2 linked regions of the Mytilus edulis genome follow. The protein of the gene in region 1 interacts with the protein of each later gene in a biochemical or structural test. Links are inferred from orthologs where the notes say so. Each region holds a gene or a part of one and is shown on either strand. Other genes may lie near its edges. The genes, in order: E3 SUMO-protein ligase RanBP2-like and ran GTPase-activating protein 1-like.

Region 1 (3,945 bases):
TTTATTCTTTTCTTCATTCTTATAAATCATTTTATAAGTATCAATTAAAGGCATTTCAATTACTATGGAGTATGGATTTTCCCCATTGTTGAAGGTGCTATGATAAATTGCTCAATAAATATTGAAACCATGAATTAAAAAATGCAATCACATACATTTTTTCTTTCATTATAGAGGTCTGTTCCTTAATACTGTTTAGTTGAAACGGTTTTGTTATTTAATATAAGCCAGATCTCCAATTATATACTTATAAACGAATGAGAGCTGTGTGGAATTTATGGATTAATGAATAAGTAAAAATAATATTGTATTTTTTTTTTACAACATTGACTACACATGAGAGTGTTGCAAATACGATAATACTATAAATATCAACAATAGTGACAGATTAGCCATGCTTGACTTCAACCGGAATATATAAAATACAAGATGTGGTATTATTGCCACGGTGATATATACACCAGACCCCACAATGTCACAGCTATATTCATTCACAACTGTAGGTTACTTTTTTTTCTCTTGATAAACAACTGTAGGTTACTATAGAGCCTTTAGTTTTCGCAGTAGTGTAGTGTTTAAAAATCTTAACTCTATATAAAAACATCAAATGTTCCAAAAATTGGTGAGTCAAAAATTTATATATTTCAAAAAAGACAAAAAATAACCAAATGTTGATAAATATTTTCTTGAACCTAATTGTAAATACTACTTTTTATTAATTGTTGTGTAATTTATCATAATTAAATATTAGGTTAAATAATTATTAGTATGATTGAAACAACAAGCTTATTCAAGGGAGATAACAATTGCAGTTCTGGTCCATTCTTGTGTAGATTTCGCTCACAATAAATCACAATAAATCTATTCATTCATTAATATTTACATCATGTACTATTATTATTGTTATTGTAACAATTTATTTTTTACACAAACATGTACACCCCCCTCTTTTAACGAGGATCAATCGACAGCTGTTACTTTTGATTAAATAAACACTGTCGTTATTTAAAAAAACAGATTTATATTGACATGATGTGTATTGAAGTTCACTGAATACATGTGTGGTTGAATCAGTATTTGACCCCATACTACACATTACAACCGATGGAGTCACCTAATATATCCACCCCCCTTTTTAAACAAAGCTAGTTACACACACTAGTCTATTCAAATATCTTCAATTATGCTTTCATACTAATATATTAACTGATTACATTAATAAGGTGAGTTGTTATTATATCAAATATATTTCAGCCATTTACACATAACCAAAAAAAAAAATAATGGACTATAATGTCAAGGGAGACAACTATCGACATCTTTTTGAAAAAGATTCATTTAGAGATAATTACACATTTTACTTAAAATTAATTGATATGAAATGTCTTAGATCATCATTTAGTACATGTCTTTAAAAGGTTTTTGAAGGGAGAGACGATAAACAAATTAATTTGCCTATATAATTCAACAACGTCACCGTTGATTCATTTTAACAAAAAGTAAACCTTAATAACAACACTTTGACACTTTTGTTTGTTACAAAACATATTTAAATCGTTCATATTATGCTTAAAGATTGTTACAAAAGTGTAATTTTGAGAAAGTATCGCTTGCCTACCTCAGTTTAGTGATCGGTCAAAATATTCCCTGTGGAAAGTAAAACACGTGGTATCGTAAACGGTTCAAGGCCAAATTTGTTATATAGTTATCGTTCTTGAAGAACTCTTTTGTGTACCTCCTTTGGTCTCCTGACGATGCTATCATTAGTGTTACCCCTCTTAAAGTCCAACTGAAAATATGAGTTCGGCGTTAAGACGTTGATGTACGGTGTCAAAGAAAAGAAGCATAAAAGCCTTTCATAATTATTTGGACTATTATTTACATAGCATTCAGAATATTTTAAGTTACCCCGTTTGGTCTTCTGGTTCCAACCTGATTTATTGGCAATATCAACGCCAACCATTTCTTGCCATTATAAATATTGGAGAATTGACTTCAACAGAACATTAACACAATTCATTATTTCAATCTGTATTTATTAACTTCTTGCTTGGTATCATTATTGACTATTGTACAGAACACATTGTCCTATCTCTCCCCCTTTTTTCTCAGAACTCATGTCATGACAGAAGCCACTTTCACTTTCAAATATTACTTTAAACTTCGTCCAGAGAAATTATTTTTGTGATTGAACATTCTGAAGTATTACCTCTTTTTCAGGGATATGAGATACATATCTATCGACGTCTTTTCTATTGCGTCTTGACATTTTTCATTCATTCACTTTCGTTCATGCCGGCGGATTACAAAAAACTTTAAAATATGAACCAATAAGATTACATTTTACAACTACCACCTCAATCGGACCAATCAAATTCGGTGTAATATTTTTAAGTTTGCCGCTTACTTCGTATAGTATCGGATATTTTCTTCATCAAGTCCCATAAACCCAAATACACTCGATCAAATTCCCGGGAACCACTAATGACAGGACGATTGCCCGGATAGTGACAGGACGGTTGACCGGACGACATATATATAGTCATAACTTTTTTGTTATCCGATAGATTTGTTTAATATTTGTAAACCTGAAAGATATTAAACTATATTTTATGAATATAAAAAAAAAGAGGAAAAATAATTATTTTTGAGCAAAAAAAGTTGACCGGACGGTATTCACACTCGCCAATATACGCTAAATATATATTCAACTGGTTGACGACAAGTGTTAATATCTCTTTTGTTTTACAATATTTGTCGATGAAACTCAGGAATCTGTGAGATTTATAAATATGTTATACGAAAATATAAACTTGATTGCAAAAAAACGTGTTTTTCTCAAAAAAAAGTTGACCGGACGGTATTCACCCTCGCCGATATACGCTATATATATATTGAAATGGTCGACGACAAGTGTTAATATCTCTTTTGTTTTACAATAGTTGTCGATGAAACTCAAGAATCTGTGAGATTGAATAATATATTACACGAAAATATAAACTTTAGGGTAAAAAAGAAAACAAATCTGCAAAAAAAGTTGACCGGACGGTATTCACCCTAGCCGATATACGCTATATATATTTTCAACTGGTCGACGACAAGTGTTGATATCTCTTTTGTTTTACAATATTTTATCATGAAATTCAGGAATCTGTGAGAATAATAAATATTGGATACGACAATATAAACTTTATAGTGAAAAAAAAAGTTTGTCTCCAAAAAAAGTTGACCGGACGGTGTTCACATTCGCCGATGTACGCGTTAATTATATTGAACTGATACAAATAAGTGTCAATATCTTATTTGTTTTACAATATTTTTACACGAAACTAAGAAATCTACCAGATCAATAAATACTTGATATTAAAATATAAACTTTATAGTAAATAAAAATGTTTTTCTTCAAAAAAAGATGACCGGACGGAACAAACATTCGCCGTTATATGCCTTAATATAAGTTGGTAGACCCAAGTGTTTATATCTCTTTTATTTTATCAAATTTATGAAATCTGAGAGATCAATAAGTACTTAATATGAAAATATAAACCTTATATCAAATATGTTAAATGTTGTTCTTAAAAAAAAAAGTTGATCTGAGGGAATTAACATTCGACGATATTATTATTTAAATATATTGAACTGATCAACACAAGTTTTAATATCTCTTCATTTTTATAATATATCTGTCCATGAAATGAAATAATTTGTGAGATTAGATAAATATTTTACAAGAAAAATAAACTTTAAAGTAAAAACAATGAGCCCAAAATGTTTATGTGAGCGAGTTCACCAATGCATATTAGAAGTAATGATATTTAATCAAATTAATCTAATTTTGACACTTGTTGTAATCACCAATCAAGCCAAATAACATGTCATTAAAGTTTTCACACCTGAGACATCAAATACATTTAATTGAATTACCTTATAATCAGTTGGTAATTA
Region 2 (3,945 bases), on another chromosome or scaffold:
GGGTTACCTCAGGTACCCATGTTATAAAGAATGCTTTTTAGATAGTTTGCTAGTGTAAACATTTATGTTGCAATCAAACAATTTCTTTATTTTAAATGAAGGACTTCATAGATGGGTATTGTTTATGTGATATATTGGAAAGGCGACTTAAGTTAACTTGATATGAATGGATAATACTTGTTTCTATCTTATGAGTTACCTGAGGTAACCGTGAATGACAGAATATTTAGTAGATACTTTGCTAGTATATGCATTTATGGTGTAATAAACCAACCTCTTAATTGTTAATGTAGGAATTCTTTGAAGTTATATTGTTTATGTGATGTAATTAGTATGGCGTTCATTATCACTGGACTAGTATATATTTGTTTAGGGGCCAGCTGAAGGACGCCTCCGGGTGCGGGAATATCTCGCTACATTGAAGACCTGTTGGTGACCCTCTGCTGTTGTTTTTTATTTGGGCGGGTTGTTGTCTCTTTGACACATTCCCCATTTCCATTCTCAATTTTATATGTAAAGGTGATCTGAATTAACTTGAGTTAAATAGGTTGTATTTGCTGTTATTGTTTCGGTTACCTCAGGTAACCCAGCTATGAAAGAATTCTAAGTTGATACTTTGCTAGTGTATACATTCATATTGTTATTCCACAATTTTTTAATTTGAAATGTAGGACTTCATAGATTTGTATTGTTTATGTGATGTATATGTATTTAAAGGTAACCTGAGTGAACTTGAGTTAGATGGGTTATCTTTGTTGTGATTGTTTTGGTTATCTGAGGTAACCCTGTCACGTAAAAATACGTCGTAGATAGTTTTCCAGAGTATACATTTAACTTCTAATAAACCATTTACTTTATCATTTTGGACTTCATAGATAAGTATTGTTTATATGATATTCAGGAAAAGCGACTTTAGTCAACTTAATTTGAATGGATTATATTTGTTGTTATCTTTGAAATAACATGAGGTATCCCTGTTATGAAAGAATACTTCGTAGATAATTTGTTGGTATATGCATTTATGCTGTAATGACACAATTTCTTAATCTAAAATGTAGGACTTCATAGATTTGTATTGTGTATGCGAGGTCTATATAAATGTAACCTGAGTTAACTTGAGTTGAATAGGTTGTATTTATTGTAATTATTGGGATTACCTCATGTAACCCTGTCGTGAATGAATACTTCGTAATACTTTGGTAGTGTTTACATTTATTGTAATAAACAAACTTCTTTATTTCAAATGTAGGACTTCATGAAAGTTGTATTGTTTATTTGATTTACATGTAAAGGTGATCTCAGTTTACTTCAGTTAAGTTAAGTGGGTTATAATTGTAATTATATCTGGGGTTACCTCAGGTACCCATGTTATAAAGAATCTTATTAGATGGTTTGCTAGCGAAAACATTTATGTTGTAATCAAACAATTTCTTTATTTTACATGTACGCCTCATAGATGTGTATTGTTTATGTGACATATCGGAAAAGCGACTTTAGTTAACTTGATATCAATGGATAATACTTGTTGCTATTTTATGGGTTACCTGAGGTAACCCTGTCATAACAAAATACTTAGTAGATACTTTGCTAGTATATGCATTTATGCTGTAATAAACCACTTTCTTCTTTTGTTATGTAGGAATTCATTGAAATTATATTGTTTATGTGATGTATATGTAAAGGTGATCTGAATTAACTTGAGTTAAATAGGTTGTATTTGCTGTTATTGTTTGGGTTACCGCAGGTTACCCTGTTATGAAAGAATTTTTAGTACATACTTTGCTAGTGTATACATTTATATTTTAATTACACAATTTCTTAATTTTATAATAGAATGTAGGACTTCATAGATTTGTATTGTTTATGTGATGTATATATAAAGTTACCTCAGTTGACTTGAGTTTAATGGTTGTATTTGTTGTTATAATTGGGGTTACCTCAGGTAACCCTGTCATGAATGAATACTTCAGATCATTAATTGAACTTTTATAAAAAAAAAAAAAAAAAAGTTTATAATTTTACCAGCCATCCCCACCCTACACGTACATACGAAATGAATGATCGGTGAAAACAAATAATAAAATCATTTGGGAAGTTTGTTGACATCTTTGGTATTTGGTCACATTAAAATTTGGTATTAAGATCTATCTAAATAAGAACTATATTTTCGTGCGTATTTAATCAATGACGCATTACCACGATTACCTCAGGGCACCGATTACCTCAGGGCATACAGCAGCGGACCTAACTGCCACCTGCTTTTGGCACGAGGTGGCGAAAAAGAAAATTGCCACTGGGGAAACCCTGGATATTAAGGTGTATAATAAGGCCCAAAGTTTGTAGCATTGCAGTGAATGAGTAAGCATGAAACTTTCCTTTAGCTTAGTATATCCATTCGGGTGCTACGTCAACACAATGCGCTTAATAACTTATATTTGTTTTTGTTTTGTTTGTTTGTTCTGTTGTTATTTATGATTACCATCAGCAGCGCTATTTAGCTTCAGTCCCTTATTTTTGAAACTTAGTTCATATGTTTCATTAACTTTGGTCTTTGCCAACTGTTCAGTTACTGATGTCAAGTCTTTTGATGACATTTTAAGGGTAATATTTGTAAAATCAAGGCAGTTGGGCCTTCTCGCTTTCAAGTTTATGGCGCTGTTTGTTACTTCCGTTTCAATGGTCTGACCAAATACCATGAATATTTATATATCGCCCAATGCTTTATTCGTCCCAAAATCAAATATCGCCACATTAAAAAAAAATGTTTTTAAGATTGGCTAGAACTACTTTTTCATACATCTAGTGTACTGTGCCATGAGTTCTTACGACCACTATTGGTTTTTTTGCATAAGATTTCGAATATATAAAAAAATAAATTTAGCTAATGTATTCACCGCCGGGTTGCGTTTCAGTTTTAAAGGATTTGTATCATGGCTAGATCTATACAAATCCTTGGTTTCAGTATATTTTGTATATATTTCTTTGGCCTTGTTTATTTCTTAAATACATTAAGTATGTGCAGGTACATATATGTTTCTGGTTTTTGGTTTGTTAGTTGTCAGTTAATTTGTTATTTTTTTTTTACTTTTTATAATTATTTTGTATGATTTTTTTCAGTAATTTTGTAATAATTTTGTATGATTTTTTTCAGTAATTTTGTAATAATTTTGTTAGATTGCATTGTCAGAGACAGAAAATACAATAATTCTAGGTTGTTTTTGTTTACAGGTCTTTTATAGTTTATTGTGTCTGTGACTCGTCCCTTTCACATTTTGAATAGTTTAGAAGGTAAAAACATAACGGATGTTGAGATGTGAGAACATTGGTTCCATTTTACATGTTTAGTTATTATCATATACTTGTTCTATAATATTTACATGTTTGTATATAATAAAAGTCAATGGAGTTATCGCCCTTACACAAAGGAAACAAGATTCAAGATTTCTAGATTGTATTTGAACACTCAGACACAGATACATGTTTTAGAGGATGGTAAAGGGTTATTTTCGTGCAACGTACGTGTTTCAAGTACCATTTTTATTTCACGCGCAGCCGTGCAAAAGGTTCGTTATTCACAGTGTTTCGTGAAATCGGAAAAAAAATCATCTTGCAAGAAATTTTTATTTGTGATTCTGTGCAAATACTTGGCCTCTTTTTACGCCCCTCGTGCAGCAAGATGTCATTCTTTTTAAAACAGTCAATAGAACTGAGGACAGTGGACTCTTGATATATACCATGGTTAAAAGTTTTGTGGTATATTGATATGTTGTAATTTGTGTTTTGACTTGTCACTATATTTTATACTTGCAACAATTGATATATGTATTATTTATTACCGGTATATGTATGAGTGTATGTTAGTTTTTGTTTGTTTTAGTTTGTCACAAACATGTATCATTTGTTTATATGGCAATACAGATTATTATTATTAATATTAGCATCACA

What was found.
Region 2: the proteins of E3 SUMO-protein ligase RanBP2-like (region 1) and ran GTPase-activating protein 1-like form a complex in vitro, tested with the Homo sapiens proteins (5 studies listed by BioGRID and IntAct, with this or other methods). The link is inferred for Mytilus edulis from reciprocal best matches to the Homo sapiens genes RANBP2 and RANGAP1.

What each region holds. Positions count from the first base shown.
Region 1 is NC_092348.1:12,672,129-12,676,073, forward strand, and holds the start of E3 SUMO-protein ligase RanBP2-like, read right to left. Parts: upstream 2,335-3,945; 5' UTR 2,270-2,334; coding exon 2,210-2,269; intron 1-2,209. UniProt on the Homo sapiens protein: E3 SUMO-protein ligase which facilitates SUMO1 and SUMO2 conjugation by UBE2I. Involved in transport factor (Ran-GTP, karyopherin)-mediated protein import via the F-G repeat-containing domain which acts as a docking site for substrates.
Region 2 is NC_092351.1:73,540,164-73,544,108, reverse strand, and holds the start of ran GTPase-activating protein 1-like, read right to left. Parts: upstream 2,686-3,945; 5' UTR 2,595-2,685; coding exon 2,480-2,594; intron 1-2,479. UniProt on the Homo sapiens protein: GTPase activator for RAN. Converts cytoplasmic GTP-bound RAN to GDP-bound RAN, which is essential for RAN-mediated nuclear import and export. Mediates dissociation of cargo from nuclear export complexes containing XPO1, RAN and RANBP2 after nuclear export.